Linked DNA regions of Notamacropus eugenii. The protein of the gene in region 1 interacts with the protein of each later gene in a biochemical or structural test. Links are inferred from orthologs where the notes say so. Each region holds a gene or a part of one and is shown on either strand. Other genes may lie near its edges. The genes, in order: ARFIP1 and ARF3.

Evidence for each region.
Region 2: the proteins of ARFIP1 (region 1) and ARF3 form a complex in vitro, tested with the Homo sapiens proteins (2 studies listed by BioGRID). The link is inferred for Notamacropus eugenii from reciprocal best matches to the Homo sapiens genes ARFIP1 and ARF3.

Annotation. Positions count from the first base shown.
Region 1 is NC_092877.1:150,886,250-150,903,074, reverse strand, and holds the start of ARFIP1 (arfaptin-1), read right to left. Parts: upstream 6,435-16,825; 5' UTR 6,281-6,434; coding exon 6,200-6,280; intron 1-6,199. UniProt on the Homo sapiens protein: Plays a role in controlling biogenesis of secretory granules at the trans-Golgi network. Mechanistically, binds ARF-GTP at the neck of a growing secretory granule precursor and forms a protective scaffold.
Region 2 is NC_092874.1:220,778,505-220,794,830, forward strand, and holds the start of ARF3 (ADP-ribosylation factor 3), read right to left. Parts: upstream 7,836-16,326; 5' UTR 7,642-7,835; intron 1-7,641.

The DNA.
Region 1 (16,825 bases):
GAGAGACTCTAGGAGATAAAGGTCAGCTCAAGAACTCAGAGCATTACCAACCCAAGAATTCAGCAGGGGGCAAAACCTGGCCAGGACTCAAAGTCCCAATTCAAGAATTAAAGTTAGAGAAATAAGTAAATCAAAGAAAATACTGACAAGTACCAAAAATAACTACAAATCTATGCTTGTTCAAAATGACTTCAGAAACTCCACAATAACAGCAAAACAGAAACTAAAGGGGGGGGGGGGGGCGGAAGAATCTGAATTTTTACAAGGCCCACATAAATACCTACAAGAAATGAGGCGAGAATTTAAAAATGAAATAAAAAGTCTGGAGGAAAGAACTGGAAGATTTAAGCACCTGAGAAAATGGTAAGTTCTTAAAAACGCTTCTTGGTTAAGACAGTTTCCAATGAAAAACTACATGGGGCTGAGTCACACTGAGTTAGAAGATTACATGACATACAACTTGCTGCTGCACAATACGGTTTATTTTTTATCCGAATATAAACAGGGAACCACCAGATCCTAGATTTAGAGCTCGAAGGAACCTCAGGATTCCTGTATTCCAACCCCCTCATTTTACAAATGTAGATCAGAGGCCCAAAGAAGGGAAGTGACTCACCCAAGACTCAAAGTCAGGGCTGACTCCAATTCCATGGTTCTTTCCATGGTATCCCACTGCCTCAGGTCCTGGAGTCTATACAACTCACATCAGAAATGAGGAAAATGAGGCTCAAAGAGATGAACTGAATGGTTCAAGGTCACCAGGTAAGACATGGCAGATTAATGTATAATGTATAATAATGTATAATAAAACACTGTCATCTGCTGTCTCACCTGGGCTTCTCTAAGTATTAGTATATCCCACATAATACTGCCTCAACTAAAACCTTGGTTGCCCTCTTCTCTTCCCCCTGCCCTGACCTCTACAAATTCCTTAAGAGAAGGTATTATAAGATTTTTGTCTTTGTGTCTCCAACACTTGGCACAGTTAGCCCATAAGTATTTATTACACATCTATTACTGCCAGGCATTGCTAAGCACTGGGGATGCAAAGAAGCTGAAAACAGTCACCATTTAATAGGGGAGACAACATTCAAACAACTATATACAAACAAGATAAATTATACACAAGAATAAATTTGAGACAATCTTAGAGGGAAGGTGCTAGCATTAAGATGGAATGAAAAAGCTTCTTTCACAGAAAATGAGATTTTCAGTTGAGATTTGAAGCCAAGATGTGGAGATGACAAGGGAGAGAATTCCAGAGATAGGAACAGTCAGAGAAAATGAAGAAGTGGAGTGTCTTGTGCAAGGAAGATAATATCAGCAGATCAGAAAATACATGAAGGGGAGTGAAAGGTAGGAAAGGGCTAAGTCAAACAGATCATTTGAAATGTGATCCAAGAGGTAAAAGGGAATTCCTGGTGTTGACTCAATGTAGAAGGGTGGATATAAGAGACATGACCAGACCTGTAGGGCAGGAAGAGCAGGTGAACCGATGAGTGAAGGACAGACTGCAGTGAGGAGACACTTGAGTGAGACCAACCAGCTGGATGCTACAAGAGTGAGGTGATGAGGTTCTGAATGTCAGAGGAGAGAAGGGGTAATATGTGAGAGACACCAGGAATGTAGAAAAGACAGCACCTAGCAACTGATGAGATCTGTGGAGTGAGAATCAGGAGCCGCGGTGAGGAGCCTGGGTGACTCAGAGGATGAGGGTGGTACCCTAACTGTATTAGGAGAGTGAGGAAGAAGGGGCTTGATAAATCTAAATAAATCAATGGACTCACAATACTGTCATTAATACAATGTAACCAAATTCTACCAAAACATTGTGAAACTAGATTTATATCACTAGACCACGCCTTAGAACTCCTCTAAATTTAAATGTTCCTGTAATTGGTTACACCTAACATTATGTCTCCTGGAATTCATTAGGATATTTGAACCAATATGAATATATTTTCATATAAACAGATATATTTATATACAAATAGATAAATATTTAAACTTGATCCATATTAGTTGGCCTATTCCTAGCATAAGGCAATCAGTCCAGATTTGGGGAGTGACCTTGGATTAACTATTCTCTAGTCCTGCAGAAGTGGTCTTTGTAAAACCGCCTTTCACAACTCTTACTGCTGGTCTTTGCTACCAACTTTGCTGCAAGACCAAATAAGGCAAAGGAATAAAACAGGAAACACTGGCTATCATTCGGTGTGGGGGGACTAGCCCTTCACTCTGATGAAAGCTACTGTAGTCCTTCACTTTTAAAGAGACATCAGCAATAATCATGGAAGCTAGAAATCATGGGACCCAACTGCAAGTAAGCAAGAGGAATAATTTTTTTCTCCTCTTCATTCCAGGCCATTAAACTGGATAATAATCTGAGGTAGGAGGATGAAATATGCCCACAAAAAAACTAAGAAAAAACAGGATAAAGGAATTTTCTTGGTATGATGATGAAGCATGATTAAATAGATGTTTGAAGAATTATAATGTAACAGAATAAAGAATAAAAACCTTCCAAAGAAATTAACAGATACTGTGGCAATTTGGATTTCTCTCCTTCCTCAAATTTATAGTTATGCTCATGCATCACGTTACAATTATTCACTAATTACCTGTCCTACACAATTAAATTTATTACAGTCTTCTACTGCAGCTCATGAATTCATGAGTCTTCTCTCTTCAAACCCTTTAAAGGCAGGCACCATGTCTTATACTTCTTTTCTACTTTCACAGCAACAGCACCAGGCACAACGTAAGCACTTAAATAGCTACTGATTTTTCCCATAACTTTAAGAAGAATTCCATAGCTCCTCCCTCTAAGGAACCATAATGATTTTTACACATACTGAGAGGCTGCATACTGTGGTGGAAAGGGCCCTAGCCTTGGAATCAGGAGACCCAAATTCATCTGCCAAGCTCTGACATTTACTACTTGTGTGACAATGGGCCAGTCGTGTAATCACTGAGCCAGTTTCCTCTCTTTGAGATGGGGATGATAACACTAAATGCTATCCATCCCCCAGGACTGCGTGAAGAAAGCACTTGCTAAATTGTAAAACACTAAAACTAAATTATCATTCTGATGGAAACCAGCAGAGAGTTTTGTTCTCGATAGGTACTTGATAATTTGTTGAATTCAACTCAACAAAATAAACTTAAACATCTAATTCAGAAACTACAGGAATGTCACCTAACAGGTATGCTGTAAAACCAAGTTAATAATTCCTCCTCTTATTCACATTTCTACCTTTATTTCAACTGACTTATTCCCAAAATATTAAAAATATATCACAGAAGAACTAAATTCAACCACAAAACAGAAAAGGAAGAGTTCATTACAAAAAAGAACCCAGCAATTTGTGGCATACAAGAAACACACTAAAAAACTAAGACATATAGTTAAAATGGATAATCACATAAAATGTATTTATACTTCAGGTAAATAAAAAATGCAGAAGCTGCAATCAGAATCTCACAATTTCATACCAAAAAGAGATAATGTCAAGAAGGCAAAAAAGGAAATTTCATTATGTTTAAAGACACCATTGATAAGGAAATGACAACATAAAACAAATAGGACAGTAAGACAAGAATTATAGATGGCTTTGGAACATTCCTCTCTCAGAACCTGAAAAATCTAACAGAAAAATGAATATGATAAATACAGAAAAACACCGTAAGACTTGTATGAACAAATGCAGAGTGAATTAAGCAGAGCCAAGAAAACAATGTATCAATGACAACAAAGCAACTGAAAAGGAATGCTTTGAAATCAATCATCAAGACCAGGCTTGGCCCCAAGGAGAGATGAGGAGAAACTTCTCCCTCCTCCTTGGAAAGGTGGGAGGAACAAAGCAGTGGCACACCACACTGGTTAGTTTCACTAAATTTTTTGACTCTAGGTCAAAATTATCTCCAAATTAATGCTAAGTCATTATTAGCCTTTTCCCCTTCTCTTTGTCTCATGCGCTTAAGGAGTTTTCCAGCGGGTACATAACCTGTGAATTAAATATATGACTATACACATAAAGACTGAGTTAATATCTCATCTGCACACCTGTACTTTTTGGCTTACAAACAGGTGAATCTCCAGATGTGGCTGGACTTGCTGTTTTGCTTGGATTTGTCTGGCATCAAAATCAACTAACTGCTAAAGGAGATCTCCTTTTATGTGAATGCTTGGCAAAAAACACAAGTGGTGCTGAAATTTTTAGCGTGGAAGAACTTTTTTGAATTTCATGCTTTATCTTGGAACAACTATGCTGACATTTGCACTGATGGTATAAAACTAATGGTAAGTAAACTTTCTGGTGTCTCAGTATGAATCAAGGCAGTGGCATCAAACGTAGTAATTGTATTCTTCACTGCCACGTGCTCGAAGTAAAATAATAAAAATAAAATAAATGCCAGTTTCCCTTAAGAATGTCTTTGATGAAGTAGAATCAAAATTATGAACTTTATGAAATCTTGAGCCTTGAATACACTGCTTTTTAACATTCTGGGAGAGAGAAATGGGAAGTGCACATAAAGCCCTTTGGCCACATACCAAGGCATGATGGTTCTCTGGAACAAAAGCATTTGCACGAGTTTAAGCTATGTAAGTTGAACTGCTTTGTTTATGAAACATCTTTTTACTTGAAAGAACTGACATACAAACTCAATGTATTGTTAATCAGACTTGGGTATTTCTATTTGGAAAATAACTTCTCAAAAATAAAGCAAATCTGTCCCTTCAAGGAAAACGATTGACAATATATATATATTTTTTGCCAAAGATAAATTCAAACTTTTGAGGGAAAAATTCCAGCTGTGGAAAACTTATATCTACTACCCTGAGCTTGACAACTTTCCAATACTTAAAGACTTTCCTGATGACATTGGTAGTTATTAACCAATCACAGTTAACTAATTGTTATTAAGTAATCATATTAACAAATATGTCTTTTTGATACTGGATAATGAAATGTATTCTTTGGAAGATCTGCATAATATAAATATTTCCAAATGAACATTGCATGATATTATAAAATCATGCATGGTATAAAAGATCCATTCAAAGGCAAGATAGAACAATGAATTTTAATGTAGCATCTGAGTATGAAAAGTTAATTGATATGGTTTCTGATTCCATATTGCAACTAATTTTTAAGAAATTAACACTGAGTTTTGGTATAGTATCTAAGAAGAATTCCACGATTATCTGAAAGGGCTATTAAAACAGTTTCCTCTTCCATCTATACATCTGTGTGAAGGTGGATTTTCTTTATATATTTCAACCAAAACAACAGAATGTAACAGAATAAAAAGATATGAAAATCCAGCTGTCTTCTATCACGCCAGACATTACAGAGGTTTGCTAAAATGTGAAACAATGACACTTCTCACTAAATTTTGCTTTGGAAAAAATTATTTTTCATAAAAACTGTAACTTGCAATCAGTTTATTGTTTTTAAATGAAAAAAATTAAAGATTTATCAGCTTTACTTTTTAATATGGTAATTAAAAATTATAACCCACGTAAAAAGTTCTTTGGGGTCTTCAATAATTTTTAAGAGAATAAAGAGTACCAGGGAAGAAAGCGTGTTAAAAACAATTAAGACTTTTTCTGTCTAGCCACATACGACAAAAGTAGGGATAATGGGAAGAAGTTGTAAAGAGATATATTTAGTTTGATATAAGAAAACAACATCTTCAAGACTCATATAAAAATGGAAAGGGCAGCTTTGTAAGAGAGTGTGTTATCCCTTGCTAAGAGTCCTCCAAGAAAGGCACATGTGCACTTACAAGGAATGCTGCAGAAATAATTCTTATCCTGATATAATAGATTGCCTAGCCTCTGAAGTCCCCTTCAATTCTGGGGAGTTCTCTCCCCACAGTCAGAAACAAAAGTAAAATTCATCTAAAGGAAGGGACGAGGGCAATAGAAAAAGCAAAGATGATATAAAAAGTGATTAACTGGTCCCTAAATAGATCTCAGCAAAGGGGATGGAGGGCTGGTGTTGGATTCAAATACCATCTCCACGCAGATGATTCTCAGGTTTACTTGTCCAGTCCTAAATTCCCTTCTGACCTCCAATCTTACACCTCTGCCTACCTACTGAACATCCCCAAATGGCTATCTCATACACATCATAAGCTAAACATGCCCTGTTTGGCCTAGAGGCTGATAGGCTACCCGAGCCTTTCTTACCTGTCGTCCAGGTCTTCGGGGATCAGCCGGATAAACGTATTGAGAGAAGAGACTTTCCAGAGTCGAACAAGGGTTAGGCATTATTCAGGGTCTTGGTTACATGTGCAGGGTGAATTCTTCCTCAGGAGAGAGGAATCCTCCTCCCCCCCAAAGGGCAAGGATCGTACAGCAAGAGGATGGGAGCGGGAGAGGGGAGGGACCCTCTGCCCTCTAAGGGCCCCTCAGCACAAAGAGCGCCTTCAGGCTTTCCTGTCCCTACTTAAGCTCTCCCGCCGCGCCGCCCCCGCCCCCCCCCCCCCCCCCCCCCCCCCCCCCCCCCCCCGCATAGTTTGCACGTGAATACCGTGCATGCTCTCAGCCTTTAGCTAGTCAACAACAGGTGTGCTCAGACCCCGGGCCAATCTCAAGGGTGGGATGCTCTCCCCAGCAAGTTTCCCACTGAGAAGAGGCGGAAATGTAAGAGATAGCCCATGTCTCACACCTCAATTCCCAGCTGTTCCCTGGGGGGCCTCATGAGAACTCTGAGGTTTAGAAGTCCTCACCTTTACCTGCCCCTGAGTGTCCACGTGAAAACTGAGCTTACACCCCCAACAATGCCCCAAACTGAATTCATTCTCTTTCCCCTCAAATTCTCCCTTCTAACTTCCTGAGAGTAGTACCATGCTCCCAGTCACCCAGGCTCCTAACCTGGCTGTCGTCTCCAACTCTTCACTCCCATTGCACGTATATAATCAGTTGCCAGTTCTTCTCTTTTCTACCTTCAGAACCTCTCTCAAATATGCCCCTTCTCTTCTCTGACAATGATGCAGCCTCTCCCCTGGCCGACCAGTTTGTCTCCCTGACTCAAGTCTCCACCCCTGCTGCCCTCCAGTCCACTCTCCTCTAAGCTGGAAAATGGTCTCTCCTTCAAGCACAGATCTGACCCATGTCATCCTCTTCTCCCATCCCTATCCCCAAGCCTCACTCTCCCATTCAATCACTCCTTGTAGCTTCCTGTTAGCTACAAGATCAAATATAAAATCCTCTGCCTTTTAAAGTCCTCCATTACCTGTCCTCTTCCTACCTTTCCAGTATTCTTCCTTGTCTTTAAAGTGAGGCCTCTAAGGTTCTTTCCTGCTCCAAATCTATAATCCTTTAATATAATTCTGTTACTAAACAATCATTTCTAAATTTGGATGAATACAGCAAATTTTAAATTTTCATATGTGTACTAGGAAAAAAATGATTAAATATGCTCATACACTATTAAATATCTCATACACTATTAGTGCTACTGACAATGTTATTTTCATGCATTTGGGAGTTACTCATAATAATTAGGTATCTTCCACAATGGTTACATTTATGTAGACTTTTTCTGGCAACTTATCCCTATAACAGGGGTGGAAAAAACTTTAATACTATGATATCATACTCAGAGGAAATCTATAATTAACATTAAATTTCAAATATCAATTTGGATACTTGAATCCTCTAATCTGATATGTAACAAAAGGAAAAATTGACAGAGTGAAACAAAAATTGGTCATCCAAATGACTGCAGCAACTGTTATTAGTAAAATTTTACTAATCGTAAATTGATAAAAGGAAGAATATAATCACTTAGTAATTAGTAATGAAGACTATAAATCATTTAGTTCAGTAATTCCCAACTGTTTTTTCAATACTGTTGGTGCTTATTAATTAGCATTCATGAATTCTATGCCCCAAATTTAAAACATTTTGTTTTAAATAACAAATATATGATAAGAAAGAAAGGCACTGTTAAGTCAAAATTTTTCAAAAATTAAGAATTCCCAATACAGATAAAATTTAAATCCCTGGAAAAAGTCCTATCTATATATCCCAGAAAAGGGGTAAAAACATGCCAGAAATGCTAAAAATGTACTTTCTTAAAGATGTGACAATATTTAAATAAACAAAGCATGAATCAAAAGGTGCAAATGACAATGAGATTTTATCAACGTAACTAACAAAGAGTAAGAATTCCAACAATATTTAAAGTTGCAGTAATTAAAACAAAAAACAGAGAGTCAGCCTTAAATCTTTTCATCTTACCAGTTAATCAGAAACCAAAACTAGAGAAACAAAGATCATATTAAGTTTCTTTCCAAACCTGAATATTTCATTTACTCATTCAACAAATACACACTGAGTTCTAATTACAAGCAAGGTAGAGTTTGGAATATAATAATGTCCAAGACAGTCCTGATTCATTAGCATAAACATTTGTCCCTACAATTAAATCCAAAGCTTCCCTTTTCTGCTGAAATAATTTCTAAATATAGCATTTTAACTTAGAGATATTTATTACATAGTCCTTAGCTGCCATTAGTTCACGGATCCCAAATGTTGTAGACTAAAGGAATGCAAACTTAAAATGAACAAGGCAATTAGAAATCACAGGCCAAGGCCCTTGTAAAAGTCACCTGGCCACGTTCCCTGCCTTCAGGGACAAATGATCTCCATAGACTGAACTAACTCTCATTAACCACACCAATGTCTTATCACCAAGTCAAAAAGTTTATCCACATATTCAACTAAATTCTCTCCTGTTTTTAACTTCCTTTGCGTCTCAAACGACAGAAAAAAAGATCAAATGTATGAAATGTTTTTAGAAGATTGCCTAAAATGAATCATGTATTTATTCTCTTAGCCTCTATATATCACTAAGATTAAAAAAAAAAAATCTGAAAGCTTTTAATGCTTCCCCATAGAACCTAGTTCCTATCCCTTTAATTCCCTTAATCAATTTCCTAAAAATTTCCTCTAGCTTCTCAGCAAAATGTTGATAATTGATAAACTAACTATAAGTAAATTAGACTCACTTCTAAAAAATCATATGAGAATAGACAAATGTCCTCTTCAAGATAATAATTTGGCTGCACACATATTCCACAGATGGTAACATTGTTCAAAATATAGTTAGAGCCATTTCTTCTTTTGACATCGAGTTCTGATCCTGCAATACATTTCTTTGAATATTCAAAGACAGCTAATCTTCACCTCTTTGACTTTAGAAAAAAGCAAAGTATAGTTAAGTGGGTGATCAAGCTGTTAATACTGTTTTAAGTTTAAAAAAACAGAGAAAGGGTGACTATAATGGAGAAAAACTGATAATCCCATGTACCTCATAAACAGGTTTTGAAGGCAATTCCAAAAGAGGAATTTCCAAAATACTTTGAGTAGCACCACTGTAATAATTCAAATGTGTACAGATCCCAGGGTGTCTACTCTGATGAACACAATATTCATCTAGATATATAAATTCTAGCATACTTGTTAAATTTTTTTTTAATCTAACTCTTTAGAGTCATACTGTGAAATCAGGAATTGACATCTCATTTTTTACTCTTGAGCATTGTCAATTAGGACTAAATCAATAGCGGTGGGAGACTCTGTTAGGACATAGAGAAAAGAAAAAATAAAGAGCCTGAAGGAGAAGGGGAAAGGAACAGGGAGAGATACAGGAAGGAGGGATAGAAATATGGGAGAAAGAGGATTTTGTTGGACATGTGGATGATGGCTACAAAAAAAACTGTCATGTTAATTATTGACATCCAAGTCACAGATCGCTTAGATAAGCTATAAAAAACACATAAAAAATTATTTATGGATCTTTATATCTCAATTTTGAGTCAGCTTTTTCTGCTCAGGTTGGTCAGTTATATAGCTCTCTGACTACATACAGTCCTGTCAGTTCTTCCACCCATAACATTATACCCCATGCATCCCCAAGAGTTTTTCCATTGTTTTTTTAAGTACTCTTTGAATTCATCAAGATCATTCCGAATTCTTCCTTAAAATTCAAGCTCCTACAAATCTATTACACATATTTTCCATTCCCTCGTACCCAAATCACCAATAAAAATGTTGCTTGGACCTTAGACTAATCCTTGGGACACTTCATGGCACTCTCCCAACTTTATAGTTTTATAACTAATTTTGGGTGTGGCCAACCGTAGAGTGAAGATGGTCCTCTGCGAATTTCTTGATGAAAAAACACTTTTAAAAAAGAAAAGGGTCTTAAAACTCATCTAGTCCTTATCTCTTCAATTCAAGAATATGGGATATTGCCTATGGGAGACTCATCTCCTAAGGCAGCATACTTGAGAAATGTCATGTTGTTGGATGGTTCTTCCTTCGGATTGGTTGTAGTCTATCTGGAGCTTCCACCTCACACAATCTAAATGTAATTTCTCTTCCACATGATTATCAAAGTCCATGATCATGAGACAGCCAGATGGTGTGGATTGAATGTGGAGCTGGAGGTCAAGTAAAATTGGGTTCAAAGCTTACATATGACAATTACTAACTGTGTAACCATGCTTAAGTCATTTCAACTCTGAGTCTCAGTTGATTCTATTTGCAAAATGAAGATAAAATATGTGTAACGTTTACATCACAAGGTTATTGAAGCTCAAATGAGATATCAAATATAAAATCCTGTGAAGTCACTGATGGGATTAACCAGCATTTATTAAATGCCTTCTCAGTGCCAGGCAATGTTCTGAGTGCTGGAGATACAAAGAAAGGAAATTTTTTTAAAATCCCTGTTCTCAAGGAGCTCGTGCTAACTGTCTAATGAGAGAGACAACATACAAACAATTATGTACTAACAAGATATACATAGGATAAGCTGGAGATAATTTTGGAAGGATGGCACTGGCATTCAGGGGAATTAGAAAGGCTTCTTGCAAAAGGTAGAAGCCAGGAGGTGGAGAGAGAAGAGAAAGTCAGTTAAAAGTAAAGGAGTTGGGAAATGGAATGTTTTGTGCAAGAAACAGCAAAAAGGTCAGTGTCGCTGGATCAAAGAGAACATGGAGCATGTGGAGGGGAGAAAGATGTATGAAGCCTAGAAAGGAGGGAAAATGCCAGGTTATGATGGGCTTTAAAAGTCAAACAAAGGATTTTATATTTAGTCTTGGACATAACAGGTAATCATCAGAATTGACTGAATAGGGAGGGGCAAGAGGTAGGAGCTGAATAGGTCAGTCCTGAACTTTAGGGAGCTTTATGAAGAGCAGTTTGACAACCTAGTGAAGGATGGATTGGAGAGGGGGTTGGGGGAGGAGGAGGCTGGGAGAACAACCTGCTGGCCAAATGTGAGGTGTAAAGACATCATGTCCTCCAGTTTTTTCTTTTCCAAGTTCAGCATACCCATTTCCCTTGGTACAATCTCCTTTGACATGGTTTCAAATCCCTTCATCATCCCAGTCATTTAAAATTCAGCACACAGAACTGAATATGGTACTTGGGTATCATCTAACTGGTGCAGAGTACAGTAGGACTATCACTTCCCTTGTTCTGGACACTATACTCTATTAATGCAATTGATATGCAGTAGATCTGCAAGTTGCCACATTACACTGCTGATTACTGAGCTTCCAAGTCAAAAAATCCCTATGTACTTGTGATTCTCTTTTATTCTATCCTTGTACATCTGATTTTTTTTAACAGAAGTGTTTGCATCTTTATTAAAAACTGTATGAGACAGAAGAAAAACATTTCATAGCAATCCCTTCCTCTTTGTTTTTGTCACTTATGATTGAAGAAGAAAATTAAATTGGCCTGACCAGATGTTTCACAAAGTTGGCAGGAGCAGACAGAATTATTCTGTTTCTGGGTTAAAAGGTCTGGTTGCTCATAACAGAAGATAAGTTTCCAAAGCAAAACATTTCAAATTTCACCTTTTTGAACTCATTCGTTTATTTAATAAGTATATGTTAAGCATCTCTCATCTGCTAATTACTATGATGGGTGGCGGAGGAGAGAGAGATCCTTTTTTTTTTTTTTACATCAGTGCCTGCCCTCCAGGAGCTTACATTTTCCTCAAAACACCGAACTCAATACACCAGAGTTAGCACTAAAACTCAGTTGACCAGAAAACCCATCAAACACCAAATGGAAAACGTGCAGAATAGTAAGAAAGCGGGTCAAAATGCGATGCCCAAGCTTCCAAGAACATTCTGTTAACCTTCTCTAGCAAAGCAGTGCTTCCTCAATCTGGAACCACAAGAAGTCCCACAAGGGGAAATGGAAGCAGGAAGTTAAAACAGCATTTAAACTTTTATCTGAACAGTCACTTACACAAGGTGAGGTCTCAGCAAGTATTCCACAACCAAAAGCAAATTTCCAATCCCTTTAATACATCTCTTCTAGATCTCAAGAGGATTTCTTGCCTGTGGAACCACAGACAGTCATACTTAGAAAGAAACCTCAAAACCACAGACCAGGAACTAAAAAGCAAACTGACAAATTTCTTTTTTTATGAAGGTTAGTAAAATTTGGGCGTTAGGGTTATCAAAGATCTCCGTATTTCACTCTCTTCGGTTCAAAAGAGGCCAAAAATAAGTCTCGGTCAGAACCAGACAGTATAGCAAACAGCTACATCAAAGAAAAATTAAGGCTTCCGAAAAAGAGGAGAAAAAACAACTTTTAGAGAGACTTCCAGGTAACACCTGCCCCAGCCCGATTCGAGCCGTGAGAGTGGCGACCTTTAAGCACAAGCGCCTGGCTGAATGTAACTAACACCAGCTCACGGGGCTAGGGATGACATTGACGCGTTGAAATTAACTAATGGAATGAAACTGAACTGAATGAAGGAAATCAACGCTAATGAAATTGAAGCTCGCTCACACCTACACAGGCTTCTGCAAGAAAACTCATCCCTCTGCAATGAGTGGAAGGGCAGTTTTAAACACGAGTGGAACTCACAGAAAAGGGGGAGGGGAGGGTGTACTAGGAGTTTTAGAAACGGTCCGGAAGGGACCAGGACTGAAGGTCCAGGATCAAAGGTTTTCAGAGCACAAAGGCTGGATGAAGGAAGTCATTTTTTTAAAAGTGAAAGGAAAGGAGTGCCTAGAACTGCAGGCAGAACTAAACTTGTTCCCGGGTAGTTAAAAAGGGGCGAGCGGGGTCAGGAGCAAAGGAAAGCCCGGAGAAGCCCCAACCCCTGGGGGCACCGGCGGGGAACGTCGGGCACGGGCCGGGCACTGACCGGCTTGTCCCGCAGCGCCTGCCACCTTGGAGACGCATCCCCGACGTCTCCCGCAACCCAACCCGGGGCGCGGAGCAGACGGGATCAAGTTGCACCCACTTTCCCCCGAGTTTGGGAGCCAGCAAGGAAGCCCCGAGACCAGCCCCCTCTCCCCCGCAGCTCCCGGCCGCGCGTCACGGACCTGGCCGGGGCCGGAGGGGGCCCGGGCTTCTCGAGGACACGACGTGTCCCCCGCCCGCCCCCGCCGCTGACCACGCCCCCGGAGCAGGGGCCGCCGCCACCGCGGCTCTCCCTATCCCCGGGTGCCCTGCCCGCGGGCGGACCGCAAAGGAAAGGTGCGGGGCTGCAGCGGCCGCGGCCCGGCCCGGTTCCTCCTCCTCACGCACCTTGAGCCCGGGGGGAGGGGGACGGGGGTCCCCGAGCCACCAGCACAGCTCTCTGCCTCTCCTAGGGTCGGTCCCCCTAAGTCCCGAAGAGCCGGACCCGGAGCCGCGGAGCCGGAAGTGAGGAGACCGGAAGCCACGTTGCCCCTGGCCCTAGCCCTAGCTGGCCTATCTTTCGGGTTCGGCCTGGCCCCGCCAGAGTCCCGATAGTGGCCACGCCTCTCGAGCCGGGAGCCCCGCCCACTGCCTCTTCCCTCCGCCCAGGCCTCCCTCTCCTCCCCCCCTGCCCGTTCTCCCCCATCCCCGCTGGAGGCTCCGCCCACTTCTCCGCCTTTCCTTCCATCCCCCAAGTCTCCCGGCAACGGAGGCCCCGCCCACTCCTCCTTCCTCCCCCTCCCGCCCCTGCGGAGCGACCGCGGCGGCCTTAGCAACCACATCCGGGGACTCGCTGGCTGTTGCTCGGGCGGGGCGCTGGCTCTCCTCCCGCCCGCCCGCTGGATGGGAGGGAGACCTCGCAGCAGAGCCGGAGCCTGGGCTGGGCCGAGAGCTGCTGGGCGGGGGGTGGGGCGGAAAGGAGGCCACCCCTCCCCCGCCCGGGACCCCTCCTCCCGAAGCTTCGGCGCCTTGAGCATGGTGACCCAGCTTGTCTATATCCAGTCGAACTTTGAACCCATGCCCTCTGACCCCGGAGGAACATTTATGAAGCACTTTCTGTGTACTAATCTACACTAACCTTCCATCTCCTTTCCTGAATCTGGAGTTGTAATCCTGCCTCGGATTTCCCCATCTGTAAAGGGGGGATAATCACAGCATCTATCTCCCCGCCTCATCCTGCTCTGTTGCTTGCAGCCTGGGTCACCTTGGGCAGGTGAACTCACCCCCCGAGTGTCCTCATCCCCTCAGGAGGCTCAGATGGAAGGACAGACAGCTTTGCCCGCGGTGTTCCACGGAGGTGGGGAAGTGTGGACAGTTACCAAGGAAGTACAAAGTCTATACAAGGACACTGTGGTGGGGGGGCCAGGAGCTGGGCGTGGACCCTGCGAATAATGGTGGGGGCCACCTAGGCAGAGGTCTGGTCTGACCCACCAGAGAGTGGGCTGCAGGACAACGGCATGCCGGAAGCCTGGCCAAGCAGGCCTCTGTGGTCCTAGGAGGCAAGAAGGACCCGCCAGAGCTTCTGGAGACATGCCGTCAGACCTGGGCCTTGGGCTAGGCCCAAGCGTGGAAGACGTGTGGAGATGTGTCTCCTGGAGACATGCCGTCAGACCTGGGCCTTGGGCTAGGCCCAAGCGTGGAAGACGTGTGGAGATGTGTCTCCTGGAGACATGCCGTCAGACCTGGGCCCTGGGCTAGGCCCAAGCGTGGAAGACGTGTGGAGATGTGTCTCCTGGAGACATGCCGTCAGACCTGGGCCTTGGGCTAGGCCCAAGCGTGGAAGATGTGTGGAGATGTGTCTCCTGGAGACATGCCGTCAGACCTGGGCCCTGGGCTAGGCCCAAGCGTGGAAGACGTGTGGAGATGTGTCTCCTGGAGACATGCCGTCAGACCTGGGCCCTGGGCTAGGCCCAAGCGTGGAAGACGTGTGGAGATGTGTCTCCTGGAGACATGCCGTCAGACCTGGGCCCTGGGCTAGGCCCAAGCGTGGAAGACGTGTGGAGATGTGTCTCCTGGAGACATGCCGTCAGACCTGGGCCCTGGGCTAGGCCCAAGCGTGGAAGACGTGTGGAGATGTGTCTCCTGGAGACATGCCGTCAGACCTGGGCCTTGGGCTAGGCCCAAGCGTGGAAGACGTGTGGAGATGTGTCTCCTGGAGACATGCCGTCAGACCTGGGCCCTGGGCTAGGCCCAAGCGTGGAAGATGTGTGGAGATGTGTCTTCTGGGCTGGCCTTCTGCGAATGACAGCTGTTACCTCAAGTCCTTCACGCATTCACAGCTGGAGAGCTACCTAGGCTCTCTGTCCCAGCCACACTCTTTCCCTTTCATTCCCCTTTCTACTTTACTGATCTCTTCATTCTAGATCACTTTGGGCAGTGGAATGAGCCCAGGATTTGGAGTCAGGGCCAGAAATTTGGGGCTCAGATCCCCAGCTCTGCCAGTCACAGGTTCTCCCAGCCTAAGTTTCTTCATCTGCAAAATGAGGAGATTGGATTCTATGACCTCTAAGGTCTCTTCCAGCTATAACTATAGGGTTCTGTGCCTACCAGAATATCTGTTGTATCTCTTCTCTCAAAGCTGTGGCTGGGGTATAGCAAGAGAAATTCCAGGCCTTACAAAAAACAGATAATAGGCAAGCGCAACTCTCCTAGTCGGTAGGGTTCGAGGTTCTTCCTGCTTGCATGTTTTAGTTTTATGACTTTCCTTTTCAGGGATGCTCTTGATGTCTATTTTAAGCTGATTTTACTTTTATAAAAATATAGGGAGGCTAGGGTGAGTGCGTATAGTGTGATTTGTTCCACTCCAGTCCCCCTTGCATTGGGTCCATCATCCTTCTAGGGAAAGGACTCTTAAATTCTCTCTCATCATCACTCCTTTCATCTCTCATAAAGGGTAGCTGCTAAAAGTCTACCTGTAAATTTCCATAGTCAAGCCATATCCTAGTGCGATTGTTAAATTCTCTCACATTCTGTGAAGAATTCTAGATGACCAAAAGTGTGTTTAGAGTCTCCTGGATCTAATAACCCTTTTCTGCATTACTGTAGGCTTCCCCTAGAGCAGTAACCCCAAACTCTTGTTTGTGTGAGTAGTACTTCAGGTGGTTCTGTTTTTGAGTAGAAACCTGATGTCACATAAATGCAGGACAGCCTTTACCTACCTGGCAGCAGCAACGTATCTTTCAGTGAATTCTACTGCTGGAAATATTCTGTTAGATTTTGGTTAGAAGACACAAAGATTTTTGTCTCTTGTAGCAAAGGGTATCCCCATCTAAGGATGCTTGCTGTTGAGAGGATATAGAATCAGAGAAGATTTGGAACTGAAACTATTTGTTACTCAAGGATCAAAAATGGTAAACTAATGGCCTAGTGAAAGAGACAAAGTGCCACTTAAAAGGCATATGTGTTCAGTGGGAGAAAGGGGGCTAGAATGAGCAATGGTTAGCTAATGACTGAGTTTGTTTGGTAGTTTAGGGTATACTACTTCTTGTTTCTCAAGTCTGGAGGAATGGGGATGGGAATAGTTAATTTTACTTAGGTTGTTTAGGACGTGGATTTTACTGTTAAAGATGGGTGCCTGAGTACTTTGTA
Region 2 (16,326 bases), on another chromosome or scaffold:
TCTTAGCATTTCTATATGTTGAAGCCTCTACAGATATCTATAACAAACCTTCATAGATTAACAAAATGCTATCTCCCAAAATCAAGTCTTTCTGCAAACCACTTATGTAATATTAGTTAATTGTTCTTTGAATGTTTGATAGAATTTACTTTTAACTCCATTTAGGCCTGGGACATTTGTGATTTGTTCAGTTATTTTTCGGATTCTGGATTGTTTAAATTCTGTATTTTTTGTTCTGTTAATCCAAGTATTTTAGGTTTTTAGTGATTTCATTTGTTTTGTTGGAATATAATTGGGCAAAATAGTTTCTAACAATTTCTTCCATTTTCTTTTCACTTATGAGTTCTTTTTCATTTTTTACTCTGATGTTTTTTCTCTGTTTAAAAAAACTAAATTAGCTAATCTATTTTACTTGTCTTTTAAAAAAACAGCTCCTAGTTTTATTAACTAATTCCATTTTTTATCTTTTTTGTTTATTTCAATTTGTTTATTTGACTTTTAATTTTATCCACTAGTTGTTATTTTTAGTTACATATCCAACTCACTGCTCTTTCTCTCTTTTGTTGATGCAAGTATTGACAAATACATATAGTTTCCCCTAAGCATAGTTTTGGATGCATTCCAAAAGTTTTAGTATATTATTTGCTATTTTTCTTGGGGAAAAAAAGGCAGCTAAATGGTAGCCATGTCATTTGGTAGACACACACACGGTTCTCTATGTATTACTGTTTCAAGACATATGATATCTCTAAGCATGATGTAGCTTTCCAGATTTTATCTCTTTTGACTATGTCTATTTTTACTGTTCCCTTGTCTGAAATCATGATTGTTGTCTCCTTTTTTCTGGATTCACCTGAAGTATAAGTGTATATGGCCCTTCATTTTAACTGTATGTGTATATTTATTATGTTTCTTATAAAAACAATATTTTGGATCCTGCTTCCTAATCTATTTACCACCCTCTTCTGTTTTAAAGGTGAGTTCATTCCATTTACATCCACAATATTATTTAGGTGTTATTTTTCCTCTATTACATTGTTTTCTCTCTCCCCAAAAATCTTCCTCTGCACAAAAAGTGAGAAAACGAAGACATGATCAAAATTAGTAACATACAATTGGAATACTCTGATTGTAGTCCAGACCCAGACTACTGGCTCTCATCTTCTCTATCCTTTTAGTCCTGTTATATACTATGTAGCTAAAACTTGCTTTGCTTGGGACTATTCCCTCCCAAGTTTTTCCATTCCCTGTTCCCATCTATTTCTCTATTGATTTTAATGTACTTCTACAGTAAACTGTGTGTACACAAAAATGCATATGTGTGCTTGACCTTCCTTTGCTTGGTTCATATAAGAGTGAGGTTCATGAAATGCCCACTCTTTCCAACCTCATGTTTATATATTTTTGGATGCATCCCAGTGATGAAAAATAATTTTCTCCCTTTTTTCTTCATATCTTAACTAGTGTATTTCCCCTTTTTTTTTAAACAAGCAAAAACACAAAACCATTCCCATTTCTTGAATTTCTTTTCTTTTGTTCATCTTTTAAATTCTGAAGATACAGATTCTGAAGGAACAATGGCTTCCTTTCCCACTAGTACAAAATAAGGACTTGATCACCACTTAACCTTATTTAAATATCTCAAATTTCTACCCAGCTCTAAGTTTCTCATCAGGAGTTATTCAAAGCCTTCTATCAAAGCTCCATTTTCCCCCCCTTTAGGGTTATACTTAGTTTCTGAGGATAAATCGTTCTTGGTTATATATCTTCTATTTCTGCCTTTCAGTATAATGAATCTCAAGCTTTCTTTTCCTTTAAGTAACTGCTTCATAATCTTGTGTGACATACTGACTGTAGTTGTTTGGTATTTGATTCTTTTCTTTTTAGCTATTTGTATTATTTTTCTATTGACCTGAAAGCTCCGGACTTGGATTATGTTATTTTTGTACATGTTGAATTTGGGGATTCTTTCAGGTAGTAGATGTTATGTGGGTTCTTTTGTTTTCATTCTGCCCTCCAGTTCTAATAATTTTGGCCAAATTTTAAAAAATGAAAACCAGAGATTGCACTGGTTTCAGGAACCTTTAGCTGGCAGGTCCTCTGCAGTCTCATGGCAGAGTCCCAGGAAGTTGGAGAAACTCACTGGTGCTTTTCTTTTAGTTCTGTTAAATCATTTGTTTTATCTGGTGCTCTTCAAAATTTCTGAGATGTTTTTCAGGGGTAGGGCAAATAGACTTGTTTAGAATCTTTCATATCACCACCTTTAATAGAAGTCCTCTGCCATTTCTTTCCCAGACTACATATCCAGTCCTTTATGTTTTTCCCTTTTATGAGGATTCTCTTCAAATTTGTTATAATCATCAAAGAGCCTTTGTGTTCATTTGAAACTCATATTATGCTGGACATCAGATGAAGAGAATTATATAAACACAATAATTTATAGCCCCATGAAGTTTACAATCTACACACACACACACACACACAATTATAGGACTACTGAATGAAAACAATGGACCAACGCATAGATAACCTGTACTTATTGAAACCTAAAACAAACAAAAAAATGGGATAAAGAACTGAGTGATAACAAATAAAATGGGAAGGAAATTTGATAGTCCTTTTGTGTTAGGCTCAGTATCATATTAGCTCTTCATAGCATTTCAGAGGTCATCTGATCTAACCTATGCCTCAATAGGAATCCTCTCTGTAGTGGAAAGGAGATCTGGGTTAGTAGAAAGAGCAATGGATCTAAAATCAGAAGAATTGGGTTAGAAGCCTGGCTCTACTTTTAGTATGTATGTGACAAATCACCTCATCTCTTTTTGTTTCAGTTTCCTTATCTTAAAAAATTGTTAGCATAGATGATGTTTGAGTTCTCTTCCAGTTTTAAATGCTGTGATCCAGGGCCTCTGCTGGTGGGGAATCTTCTTCAGAAGCAGGCTATTCTACTTTCAGAGAGCTCTTATTATTGGGAAGTTTCACATTATATGACGCTACAATCTGCCTGTCTGCAACTTCTACCTACTGTACCTAGCTCTATCCTTTGGGGCCCTACTTATTCTAAGTTTAATCTCCCTTTTCCACATGAAAGTCCTTCAAGTAACTGAAGATAGCTAATATGTTCTCCAAGTTAAATATCCTGACGGGCTTCAACTGGTCCTTGTATAATATGATCTCCAGTCTTCTCACTATCTTGGCAACTATATCCAGGTTTTGAAATGTGGTCTTGTATCAGGGGTGGGGAACTTGTGGCCTTGAGGCCCCATGAGGCCCTCTAGGTCCTCAAGTGTGGTCCTTTGACAGAATTCAAACTTCACAGAATAAACAGGTTTGGATTCAGTCAAAGGGCCACACTTGAGGACCTAGAGGGCCTCAAGGCCACAGGTTCCCACCCCTGGTCTAGTTTGTCAGTTTTCTTGTTCAGAGGTGACATTCAGAGCTAGATACAAATCTCTAGAGGTATTCTGGCTACAGCAGAGTATGGTGTGGTTGAAATTTCTCTATGCTTCTATTAAATTAATATGCTTCTATTAAATTAATATACTTCTATTAAAAAGGCCTAAGATCACTGTTCCTCATTCCTATCACTCTCTCTCTCCAAACCTCTGCCTCCTAGCTTCCTTCAAAGCACAGCTCAGGGTCATTCTGATAAAGGAGGTCTTTCCTGTTTCCTACAGTCATTAGTGTTCTTTGCACAACCCTGTTTTTCAAACAATGCTGTTTCTGCCTCATAGGATATAAGCTCTTTGAGGGAAAGGGTTTTCATTTCTATCTTTGTATCCTATAGCACAGTGCCTTGCAATCAAATCCTTTTTTCTTGGCTGCCACACTATGATGCTAATTCATACTGAGCTAGAAGGCTAAACCACCATCAGCCCCCATATCTTTTTAACATAAGATTGATATCTAACCACATCTCCACCAGGAAGCTTCATTTAATTTTAAAATCCAACATGGAACATTATTTTTATCTCTATTAAATTTTGTCTATTAGATTTAGTCCATTATTCTACCTTACTGAGATCTTTTGAAATCCTGATTCTGTGTTAGATGTGCCTCTCAGCTTTGTGTGATCTCCAAATTTGATAAGCATACCATCTATCCCTTCATCCTATTTACTGTTAAAAATATTGATCAGAAAAAAAAAATATTGATCAGAAAAGGGCCAAAAAGAGGTCCCTGAGGCAAGTCATCATACACCTGTATCTATAAAGATATTGATTTATTAATCACTGCTGTATAAGTCTGATCTTTCAGTTTGCTATGAATCCATTTAACTGTCATCTAGCCTCATTTCTAAAACTAGCACTTTCTCTGAATGAGCCATTCCATTATTTCAGAATGCCAAGTCAATTGCCATGGGCTCCACAATTTGCTCCTCATGAAAGAATAGGACCTGGATTTGTAAATGTATTGGTATAGGGAATTCCCTAGTGAGGAAAGATCCTCTAACAACACAGGCTGGCACCTTCTCTGAAATTTATGGCCTTAGGATAGACCATAAATTTATCTTATGGACAATCACAGATTTCCAAATGGTTTTATGTCAGAGGCAAAACTTGAACCCAGGTATTTTTGGCTCGAAGGCAGCTAGATGGTGCATCGGAAAGACTCTAGCTGGGTCTGGAATGAGGAAGACCTGGGTTCAAATCTGGCCTTAGATACTTACTAGCTGTGTGACGTTGGGCAAGTGACTTAAACATCAGTTTCTGAAAATGGGGATAATAATAACACCCACCTCTCAGAGTTGTTATGAGGATCAAATGAAGTTGTAAAGCACTTAGCACAGTGCCTGGCACATAGTAGGCACTACATAGATGCAAGCTATCATCATCATCATCATCGTTATTATTGAGGATAACTATTCACGACGTGAGACAACATAAAAAGCTGCTGCTAAAACATTAAATTTATTAAATATAAGGCCCTGACGATAAACACTCCTTTCCTCATATTTTCACATACATTCCAGGGTGTATATGAACATTTTTTTTTAACATTTTCTTTTCAAGGCTAACATTTATTTTCATTTTAATAAGACTTTCATACGGATAAAAATATTAGGTATAAGGAGGAAAAATGGTGATTTCTCCCCCCCAGATCAAACCACCGGATAGCTTTAACCAAATATACCTCAATTCTAACTAGAGTTCGCCTCTCCTGTTTCTAAAAATCATCAGCAAAGGCAATTCTACATTTTGATCATTTGATTATTAAGAATTTCTCCTAACTTAAATTCCTATCTTGAAACCATTTCTTTTTGTGATCCCTCCACTAAGAAAACAATATCTGAGGTGTATACTCTATGAAACAGACTTTAAAAATAATTTCCATTTTTCTTCTTTTTACCACAACGGTTGCAACCTGTTCACTAGACTAATGTGAAGCTGCTGATCCACTGTTACCACCAGATTTTTGGCAATGGCTCTCTCAGCCTCTCCTCAGACCCAATGATACCATTTTAAGATTACAAGAGCAATCTAGGAAATAAGAATGGATCTGTAGTCAATAGGTGCAGAGTTTAAGTTCCAAGTCTGTCACATATAAATTGTACGACACTCGGCAAATTATTTAACATCTTGGAGCCCTCATTTTCTCATCTGTGAAATGGAGATAATACTTATATTAGCTTCCTCATGGAGTAGTTGTAAAGAATATGTTTTGTAAACCCTTAAATATTATAGAAATGTTAGCTATTATTACTAATAGCTAACTGTAACTGTAATTAAGAGTGATTTAATCTGAAGGAGAAGAAAACTGCAAATTGTGAGAAAATAGTAAGAGAGAAATATTGTGGTCTTGGCTGCTGTGCCTCAGTTTTCCCATCATAAAAGAAATGATCCCTAATATCTGTTTTTCACAGTGAGGTTGAGAAACAAAATCATAAGATAATTTATTTAGAGATAGAAAGACTGAAAGCTCTATTACAAAATACACAAACTGCAATGCATAAAGCATGCATAATGGCAAAGTTCAAAGATCTCAGCCTGAGGTCCTAGTCCTACCACTTGGCTACCTCCCAGAAACTCAGAAGAGTTAGATAAATTAGACAAATCACTTCTCTTCTTTATCTCTATCAGGTATCAAGACATCTTTGACAGAAGGTGTCCAAGGTTGATCATTCACTCAGTGTGATCATTCTTTCAACGAATATAAACTGAATTCCTACTATGTGCACATAAGATTTTGTTGGTCACTGTAAGATGGAGTGGGGGAGAGAAAAGAAAAAATTATAAACTCTTTAAGGGCAAAGACGGATTTTATAATGTGGTGGTAAAAAGACACATACACACAAGAACAGGTAAACAATAGCGGGCAATGAGTGCGCTTCAGAGAAGTGGGGGTGGGGAAAATGTGTTAAGTGATCCCTCTCCTGCAGAGACTCCGGGCCCAGATGCCATGGGTCCCGACCTAGCTGTTAGAACGATCTAAATGGTCCACCTTTGTGTCTGTTTTCCCTCTCAGCGACCAGGCTAGTCCGCGAAACAGACGTTTGGCAAGATGGATTCGAAGCACCTGTCCCAAGCCCCCTGGTGAGGATGAAAGGGTCGTCCGCAAGGAGGCCAGCACCCGCCCCAGGCAATCGGACCCCAGCAGCACGTTACCTCCCAATAAAACTTTCATGGCACGCGGGCCAGGAGATCAAATCCCACAGGAGCTGGGGGCAGGTTTTCGGTTACACCTTGCTCTCACTGGGATTACCTCACAGTTTCCTTTCGCCTCGAACCCTCTCCCACGTCCAGCGAAAAGGGGAAAGGCAGGCTGGGGAAGCCACACGGCCCAGGACGCTCGGGAAGGGGAGGCTCATTCCCCACCCGGAGCTGCTTCCCTTCCTAATCCAATGGCCCATTTTAAAAGGGAACTTCCTCCCCCTCCCCCTCCCCCTGCCCCTGCCCCCAACGGTCGGCTTCGGAAGCAAAGGCACCATTTTCTGCTTCAGGAATCCTGGTCTTTCCAGAGGCAAGGAATGGGATTGGAAGATGCAAACCCGGGGCCAGCTCGAGGATGCCCCCTCCGTTCGGCTCCAGGGAAGGCCGCCCCCGCTTAGCCCGGGGGAGGGAGTGCCTCCCTGCTTCCCTCCCTCCCTCCCCGGAGCAGGCGGAGAACCTCCTCCCTTCTCCTCCCCCCCACCTCCGGCTGCCCACTCCCCCACAAGTGTTCCCCAGGCCCCCGAGAAGCCACTCGCCGCCCTGCCTCCCCGCCCCCCACCGGCCCCAGCCTCGGGAGGGGGTGCCCCCCTCGGGCGAGGGGGGAAGGGCAGGGACCCTCCCTCCGCCGCCCCAGCAGCCCCTCCCCTCCCCCGTCCCAAGCCCAGCTGGGGGAGGGGGAGGGGGTGGAAGGGAGGGAGCGAGTGCTGCCGGGTGCCAGCCACCCGTCCCCGCGCCCCGCGAAATGACAGGAGAGCGAGCCTGCGTCCGTCAGTCTGTCCGTCCGTCCCCACTTAAGAAGGACGAGGGGGCCGGGGCCTGACGCCCCCGCTCCAAGCCCCCCCTCGTCTTCTCTCCGGGGGTGGGCGCCCGCCTCGTGCCCCTCTGGCATGGGGGGAGGGGGTGCTGTCCCCCCTGATCTCCCCTTCCCCTCCGTCTCCCCCTCCCCCCACAGCCACCTCTCGGAGGGGATCTCCGGCCCCAGCCCCGTCACCTGCTCCGGGGGCCGGCTCCTCCGCCGCCGCCGCCTCCGCTCGGCCTCGCTCCCCCGGCTGACTCCGCCGAGGCTGCACCCCGGCCCCACCGCCCGACAGCCCGACCGCCCGCCTGCACCTCGCACCGGAAGCGCTGAGCGACGGCCCCCGCCTTCCCCGGCCCTCCTTCCCTCCCTCCCCGGCCCTGCGTCCCTCCGCCTTTCCCCCCCCCCCCCCTCAGATCTTGCGAGAACTGCGAGGCGGCTCAGGGAAGATCTCGCGATATCCATCACCATGGCAGCGGCTGCAGCCCTGGGGGGCTGGAGCGAGGGCGGCGGCGGGGGCCCGGGCGGAGCGGCGGGGGCGGTGCTGGCGAGGAGCGGGGCCGGGGCCGGGGCCGGGGCCGGGGCCGGGGCTTCCCGTGGAGTGTCACACACGCACGCACGGACACGACCTAGGTATGTGTGGACGCAGTGAGCAGATGTCGTCTAGGTGGCCTGTGGGTGCAGACCACATACATACGTACATATATATGTATATACTATTACTACTACTACTGGCTAAAACTTGATGTAGCTGGCACCGTGCTAAGCCTCGTGTGATTCTCACAACAGCCCGCCGAAGGAAGCGCTAATAGTGGTCCCCATTTTACAGATGAGGAAACTGAGGCAGAGGTTGTGGCCCAGGGTCACACTAGGCATCCCAGCACTTTCTCCGCTGTACCACCCAGCTGTGTACACACACCTATGTACATACAATATGGATAACATGTATGTAACGTGCACACGCATGCTCCGAGCCTATTTGCTATGTGCATGCACATATATATGTAGATATATGTGTGATATACGTGTGTAGATAAATATATATTCTGAGAATCCTTATTTTAACTCCCCTTGTCATAGATGAATCCCAGCACAAAGCTCCAAAGCTACATCTCCATCTCCCCTCTCAGGATTCCAGAAGTACTCTATCAGATATAGGCGGATGATTCTCTAATCTTATCTGGTGACTGCTTCCCCCCAAAATGATCAGTCTAGAGTAATTTTGCTCAGGCAGATTTAAGTAGCTTTTCCCCCCAAATGTTTCATTTTTTCTAATTAGATGTTAATTTGTTAAACATTTGTTTTTTAAACTGTTGAGTTCCAAATTCTCTGCCTCCCTCCCCTCCTTCCTCATGAGAGAGAAAGCAATTTTATATAGGTTATACACATGCAGTCATGCAAAACATATTTCTGTATTAGTTACATTGAGAAAGAAAACAAAGTTTTGAAGAGTATGCTTTGATCTGCATTCGGTTTCCATCAGTTCTTTCTCTGGAGGTGGACAGCATTTTTCATCATGAGTCCTTTGGAATTGTCTTAGATCATTGTATTGCTGAGAATAGCTAAATGATTCACAGTTGATCGTGGTACAATATTGCTGTTACTGTGTACGATGTTCTCTGTGTTCTTCTCATTTCACTTTGCATCAGTTCAGGTAAGTTTAAGTAGCTTTTTGGGCCAAGGTATTTCCTAAGGTAGAACAGTTGTTATATAACACCTCCCCTCCAAAAGTCTGTGACATATTCTCTCCACAAGCACACACAGAATCCAGGGGAAAGTGGGTTCAAGTTTAGAGAGCATATGTCACAAAGAAAGTTGGTCGTTGCTGGAAGTTTTTTCTTTTCTTTCCCACTTATGGGATGCTCAAGAAATTCACTTGAGTTATTGTAGAGATTCTTTGCTGGGCTTCTTGTGGGACTATGAATCTACGTCCATTCTGTCCATGGTTCTCTATGTCATCACTAGGACATAGATGGAAAGATTGGACGTCCAACATCCTGCAGACTAGCTTGCAAGATTTTCCTTGGGCCAAAGAGAAGGAATAGAAGAGGTGGAGGATTCAGACCAAGGCTACAACCCATGTGTTCCTTCTCAGGGGTTTACTGCATCTCTCTCTCCTGGCTTGCCATTCACTGGAACTTCCTGATTCCAGTTATCTTGATGCTTTCATACAGGATCCAGAGGGCACAAGGAAATCTATCAGGTAATTAGAAGATACTTTCTGTATAGTGTACTTTTACTTTATCCATTGACCTTCAAAGACTTTTTACATTTAGTCTAAAGCTTAGAGATTTATTGATTGGTTCCCATCTTATCACTTATTTTACATGGGTTGGAGTGACTTGACTGAATAAATCTAAGTCATATATGTATATTCACATACGTATAATAATTCAAACAACTGCTAGATCCAGTGACAAGTGAGAAGAGGAGCAATATTCCCTGTGATGATGGGCCTTCCTGCTGAACCTGTCCCCTGAGTTGAGCCTTCCACCTCATGTGTCTCCTGCCTGCTCTTTAGCCTTCTCTGGAAAAAGGAGTAGAGCTATCCAACTCAATGATTGACATATTCACTCTTGGTCTTACTCTAAATGTCCCAGTGATTCTTAACCTATGTAGGCCATCATTTGCACCCTCCATTCCCCATCCTCCATCACCTGATTCTATATTCTCATCCTCCTCAACCCTCCTACCTTGAAGTGTCAACCAAACACTATCCACCCCTTCTACTGTGCTCTCTGGAATGCTTATTCCATAGAAAACAAACTTCCCTTTATCTTACATCTTCCCCCTCTCCCTAGTGTTTCCATCTTCTAGCAATTGCCAAGACTTCCTCCCCATCCCAATCCCATTCCTGATGACACGGCCTCCCTGGCCACTTTTTTTAGTATTGGCTGCACCTTCATTCATTTCATGTAGTTCACTGGTTGAGACAAGACAGGTGGAATACACTTTGCTCCCCACTGCTACATCCAGGTTCTCTCCCTACTTCCATCACTCAGTAACATTTCCTTCTTTGAAATCTATACAATCCACATTTTCCATCCAATCAAAATCCCAATAGCTGTTGCCTACAGACTTCCAGGTCACTCTACTTCCTTTCTCAACGAGTTCAGTACCTGGCTCACAATTTTTTCTCTCCTTCCCAACTTCTGCTTTCATACTAGGAGACTTCAACATACATATCGACTCTCCCTCAAACACCCTAACCATTCAGTTCCTTAACCTACTCATTTCTCATGACATACTTCTCCACTATACCTTAATCACATACGAAGATGGTCGTATTCTTGATCTTGCCAACATCCACAACTGCACCACTTCTATGTTCAAGAGTTCTGAAATTCTCTGAACCTCTCCTTCTGCATTCTCTTACCAAAACATACTGTTCTTTCACACCATGACGTCCAATTCCCCAGTCTTTCAGTTCTCTCTCAGGCCATGACCCCTTCACTAACCACTCTCTCCTCTCTCCATCTTGACCCCTTGATGAAATATTTCAACTTTGCCCTGTTCTCTTCTCCTGAGTCCCTGGTCCCCCTATCTTATTGATTATGCCCTGATTGTGCCCTGCCAAGCCTTAGTCTTGGATGACTCCCACTATCGGCTCCCTTCAATCCTACACATATGCTGCTGAAGGAAGATGGAGAAAATCAAGTAACTATCCATTAGTCTAGGTCCATTACAAATATATGTTATACAATCTCAATAGGGCCCTCACTCCTGCAAGGTAATCTCCCTTACCAACTCATTATCCTACTTTCCACAGAGACTCTTTCAAACTTTTTTTTTTATCATCTCTCTTTGAACCTTCCACAATGTCTCCACCCCTATATTCTCTCAGCTAAGAACCCTGCCTCATATTTTATGGAAAAAAAGACCATTTTCTGTGAGGTCCCTCTTTTCTCTTTTTCCTCATTTCCTATCACTCAGGTGCTTTCTGCCTCTATCTATTCTGTCACTTTTGTTTCACACAAAAAGGTGGCCTTATTCCTTAACAAGGAAACTCCTCTACCCACACAAACTATGCCATTTCGTTCTGTCTCTTCTAACACAATGACCTTTCTGTCTTTCCCACTTTATCACTTATCTTCTATCTATAAGCTCCTTCCCTGTTGCCTACAAACATTCATATGTCTTCCCCATTCTTATAAGATAGAAGCCTTCCAGATAAGATTGAGGTAAAGCAAGGATGTACATTATTACCACTATTATTCAATATAGCACTATAAATGTTAGCTATAGCAATAAGAGGAGAAAAAGAAATACAAGGAATTAGAATAGGCAATAAAGAAACAAAAGTATCACTCTTTGCAGATGATATGATGGTATACTTAGAAAACCCTAAAGAATCGATTAAAAAACTACTCAAAATAATTAACAACTTTAGCAAAGTTGCAGGATCTAAGACAAACCTATCTTCATCATTTCTTTATATGAGCAACAAAGCCCTGCAGCAAGACATGGTGTGGGGAAACTGAGGAAGATTCTCCCCAGCCCCTTGCATGATTGCCACATGACCTAACATAAGGAATGTAACTTAAAGTTGATATGCTTAACTGGGAGTGCCAGGGGAAGCAGCAGAATTAATGAAGCATGTAGCCGGGGCAAAGAGATCCTTATCTTAAGAGTCGTAAAACTCATTAAGAGAAGAGGTGTCTGTGTTCAAGGACCTGGCCAATCCTTGAGCACTTAGATCAAAGTCAACAGCTGGAACTTTGGGCCAAAGTTCCTTTTTTGTTCTAAGAGTCCTCTTTTCCCTGAAGTTGCTTGTATAAAGGGACTGAGTGAGACATGAATCTTTGGAGGGCTTTTGCTACAGAAGTGGGGATGCCTGCTTCTGCTCTCCCAGCCAGGACCTTTCTCGACTGCTCCCCCCATTTAGCCTCCCCAGTTGCCCAAGTGTTGGAGCTCAAACTTGGCTGGTGAAGTATATTTTTTCTTTTTCTATTCTGTCTTAACTATTATCTACTGTTTATATGTATACACTTGCTAACTTCCACTATTTGTAGTAATAAAACTTAATTGAGTATTAAGCTTGTTGTAGTGCATCATTGTATCTTAAGATCCGAACCTGAACTTAAAGTAAAAGTACTGTGCAGTCTACATAATCCCTTTTGATTACACATAGAAAGAAAAATTCCATTTAAAATAACTGTAAACAATATAAAATACTTGGGAGTCTACCTGCCAAGACAAACCCAGGAACTATATGGACATAACTACAAAATACTTTTTGCACAAATAAAGTCAAATCTAAACAGTTGGAAGAATATTAATTGCTCATGGATAGGCCACGTCAATACAATTAAAATGATTATTCTGTCTAAACTAATTTACCTGTTCAGTGCCATACCAATCAAACTACCAAAAATTGTTTGATAAAGCTAAAAAAAATTAACAAAATTCATCTGAAACAAAAAAGGTCAAGAAAATCAAGGGAATTAATCAGAAAAAATACAAAGGAAGGTGGCCTAGTGATACTAGATCTCCAACTATGTTATAAAGCAGTAATCATCAAAACTATCTGGTACTGGCAAAGAAATAGAATGGTGGATCAGAGGAACAGATTAGGTACACAAGTCAAGGACCAGAGTAACCTAGTGTTTGATAAACCCAAAGCTTTTGGGATAAGAACTCACTCTTTGACAATAGAGCACAAAGTAGATGTAGACTAACATCTCACACCATATACCAAGATAAGGTCAAAATAGGTGCATGATGTAGACATAAAGGATGACACCGTGTCTCCCCATCCTCAAAAAACTCTTACTTGATTCTTCTGTCCCCAATAACTAACATCCTATATCTCTTCTTCCTTTTATGGCTAAGCTCTTTGAGAAAACTATCCATAAAATTTGCCTCCATTTTCTTTCCTTTTACTGTCTTAACAACTTGTAATACACCTTTCAACCTCATCATTCCACCAAAATTGTTCTCTCCAAATATACCGATGACCTTTCAATGGCCAGATCCAGTGATTTCTTTGACCTTTCTGTAGCCTGCTAATCAATTTCCCTCTTCTCCCTGATACTCTCTTCTCTCTAGGTTTTCAGGATGCCACTCTCTCCTAGTTCTCTTTCTACTTACCAGACTACTCTTTCTTAGTCTCCTTTGCTAGATCTTCAGCCAAATCATACCCAATGATTGTAGGTTTCCCACGGGACTCAGTCTTGGATCCTCTGTTCCTTCCATACAACTTCACTTGTTGGTTTCATTAGTTCACATGGATGCTGATAATGCTCAGGTCCACCTATTCTTCTCTAACCTCTCTATTGCCCTCCAGGCTTTCATCTCCAAGTGCCTTTTAGACATCTTGAACAGGATATCTAAAACTTAACATATCCAAAAAGGAATTCATTATTTTTTCGCTTAAACCCTTCTTCACCCCTAATTATTATCACAGACAACATCAAAGACAACAACAAGGCTCAAAACCTAGAATTCATCCTCAGCTCTTCCCTATCTTTCATCCTTTGTACCCAATTTGTTGTCAAGACCTGTCAATTTCATCTTTGCAACATCTCTGGAATATGGCACCTTATTTTTTTAATACCACCTTCTAATACTACATGCTATTTGTAGGCCCCAAGCTTGGACTATTACAATAGCCTCCTGATGGGTCTGCCTTGCACAAGTCTCTCCCCACTCCAATCCATCCTCTTTTCAATTGCCAAATTGATTTTCCTAAAGTACAGGAAATAATAAACTTAATAATAATAATAAACTTAATAAACTCCATTGGCTCCTTATCACTATATCAAATGTAAAATCTTCTACTTGGAGTTCAAAGCCCTCCATCCCCACCTTTTCCTGTCTTCTTACATCTTTCTCCTTCTTGTGTATTCTTCAGTCTAGTGACACTGGCCCCTTTGTTTTTCCACAACTTTCAGCTCTGGGCATTTTCTCTGGCTGCCTCTTGTGCTTGGAATCTTCTCCCACTTCATCTTCACCTCGTGGCTTCTCTGGCTTCCTTCAAGTCTCAACTAAAATCTCACCTTCTTTGGGAAACTTTTCTCAATCACTTTTAATTCTAGTAACTTTCCTCTTTTAATTATTTCCTATTTACAATATATGACAACTATTGGAAAATGGCTTCTGGTCACATATTTCGATTAGTTATTTATACATCTTGAATATAGAAACCTTATCATTGATATTAGATGCAAAGATATTTCCCAATTGACTGCTTTCCTTCTTATCCTAGATGATTTAATTTTGCATGTGCAAAAATTTTCAAATTTAATGCAATAAAATTATCTATGTTATTCTTTGGTTACAAATTCACCCACTATCTATAGATGTAGACAACAAGATCTGCTTCTTTTCTAATTTTTTTTCTTCTAATTTTTTATGGTAACATCTTTAATATTCAGATCATTTATCTGTTTTGAATTTACTCTAGAAAATTGTCTAAAAGGTGAACTTAAAGCTTATTTCTGCTTTTCAGTGTTCCCAAAAGCTCTTATCAAATAGAAATTTCTTTCCTAAGTCATTAATGTTTCCAGGTCTACCAGACACTAGGTTATTGAGTCTTATCATTTCCTTTCTCCTTTATCTAGTTGCATTGATCTACTTTTCTATTTTTTAAAACAATATCAAGTGATTTGGATAAATACTGCTTTGTAACATAAATTTGCTCTGTTTTCATTCCTACCACCATTTTCTTCATAAATTATGAATGAGGGTCTCAGCTGAGCAAGTAGAGAAAAGGAAGTGGGAAGCCTGAGGACAGAAGAAAAGGTCTACAACAGTCCCTGTATGTAGTAAGGGGAATAGAGAATTAATTAAAGAGAAAAAAAGAATTGCCTTGCAATTGCCTTGAGTTGAGATTAGATGGCATAAATTTGTAGTGGACTAAGTAAGCAGGTTGCATAACTTCCTACAATTCTGTTTAGCATCACCTGGGTGTGACTGAGCCACTTTTACACCTTTTACAATCTATGAATATGTCCATAAGGGTGTGAGATACTGAAGGTTTCAAATACTATATTCATATAGACACTCTAAGTCTGAAAGGGTCAAAACTTCAACACTTCATATTACCGTATGACCTAATATTATATTCAGGGGCAAAGTGGCTCCCTACCCCTTACATCAAGTAAATGAACAAAGAGTTCTCAAAAGAATTGCAAATTATTAACATCCATACATATAACAGAATATCCTAAAACACTAAAAATAAGAAAAATGCAAATTAAAATGTCTCAAATTAAAACATTATCTCATAACCATCAGTTTAGTAAAGATGAAAAATAATGGGAATAGTCAATGTTGCAGGGGCTGTGGAAAGATTGGCACACTAATGCATTATTGGTGAAGCTGTGAATTGATATGACAGTACTGGAAAAAATGTGAAATTATGCAAATAAAGGGACTAAAATGTTCATACCCTTTGGCTCACCACAATGCGTATACCCTAGAGAAGTCACTGACAAAAGGAAGGACTCCACATAAACCAATATTTATAATAGCAATATTTGTGGTAGTTAAGAATTAGGAATTTTAAAAATGCCCATTATTAGGGAATGGCTAAATAACTGTGGTATGTTTACCCCGGTAAACCATTTAAGCAGATGGACCAAACCAGGTTGAGGGTAACCAAGGGTTCTCAAACCCATTGGTGAGTTAGGAGGGTATCTACTCCAAACATGTGAAGACTTCATCTGGTGGAATGGGCAGATGAGAACAATTTGTTCCAATGGTCATGAAGGCAGATGAAGCAGGCAATGTGTAGCGCTTAGAGCTTGGTTAGACACCAAAGACACTAAGGTCATCCACTACATCCTGAGCCATCACCAGCCATCTTGACTCTGTCTTGCCACCAGACTATGATGACTCAGGAGGAGAGAGTGAGGCTGACGACTTCAAGCAACTCTG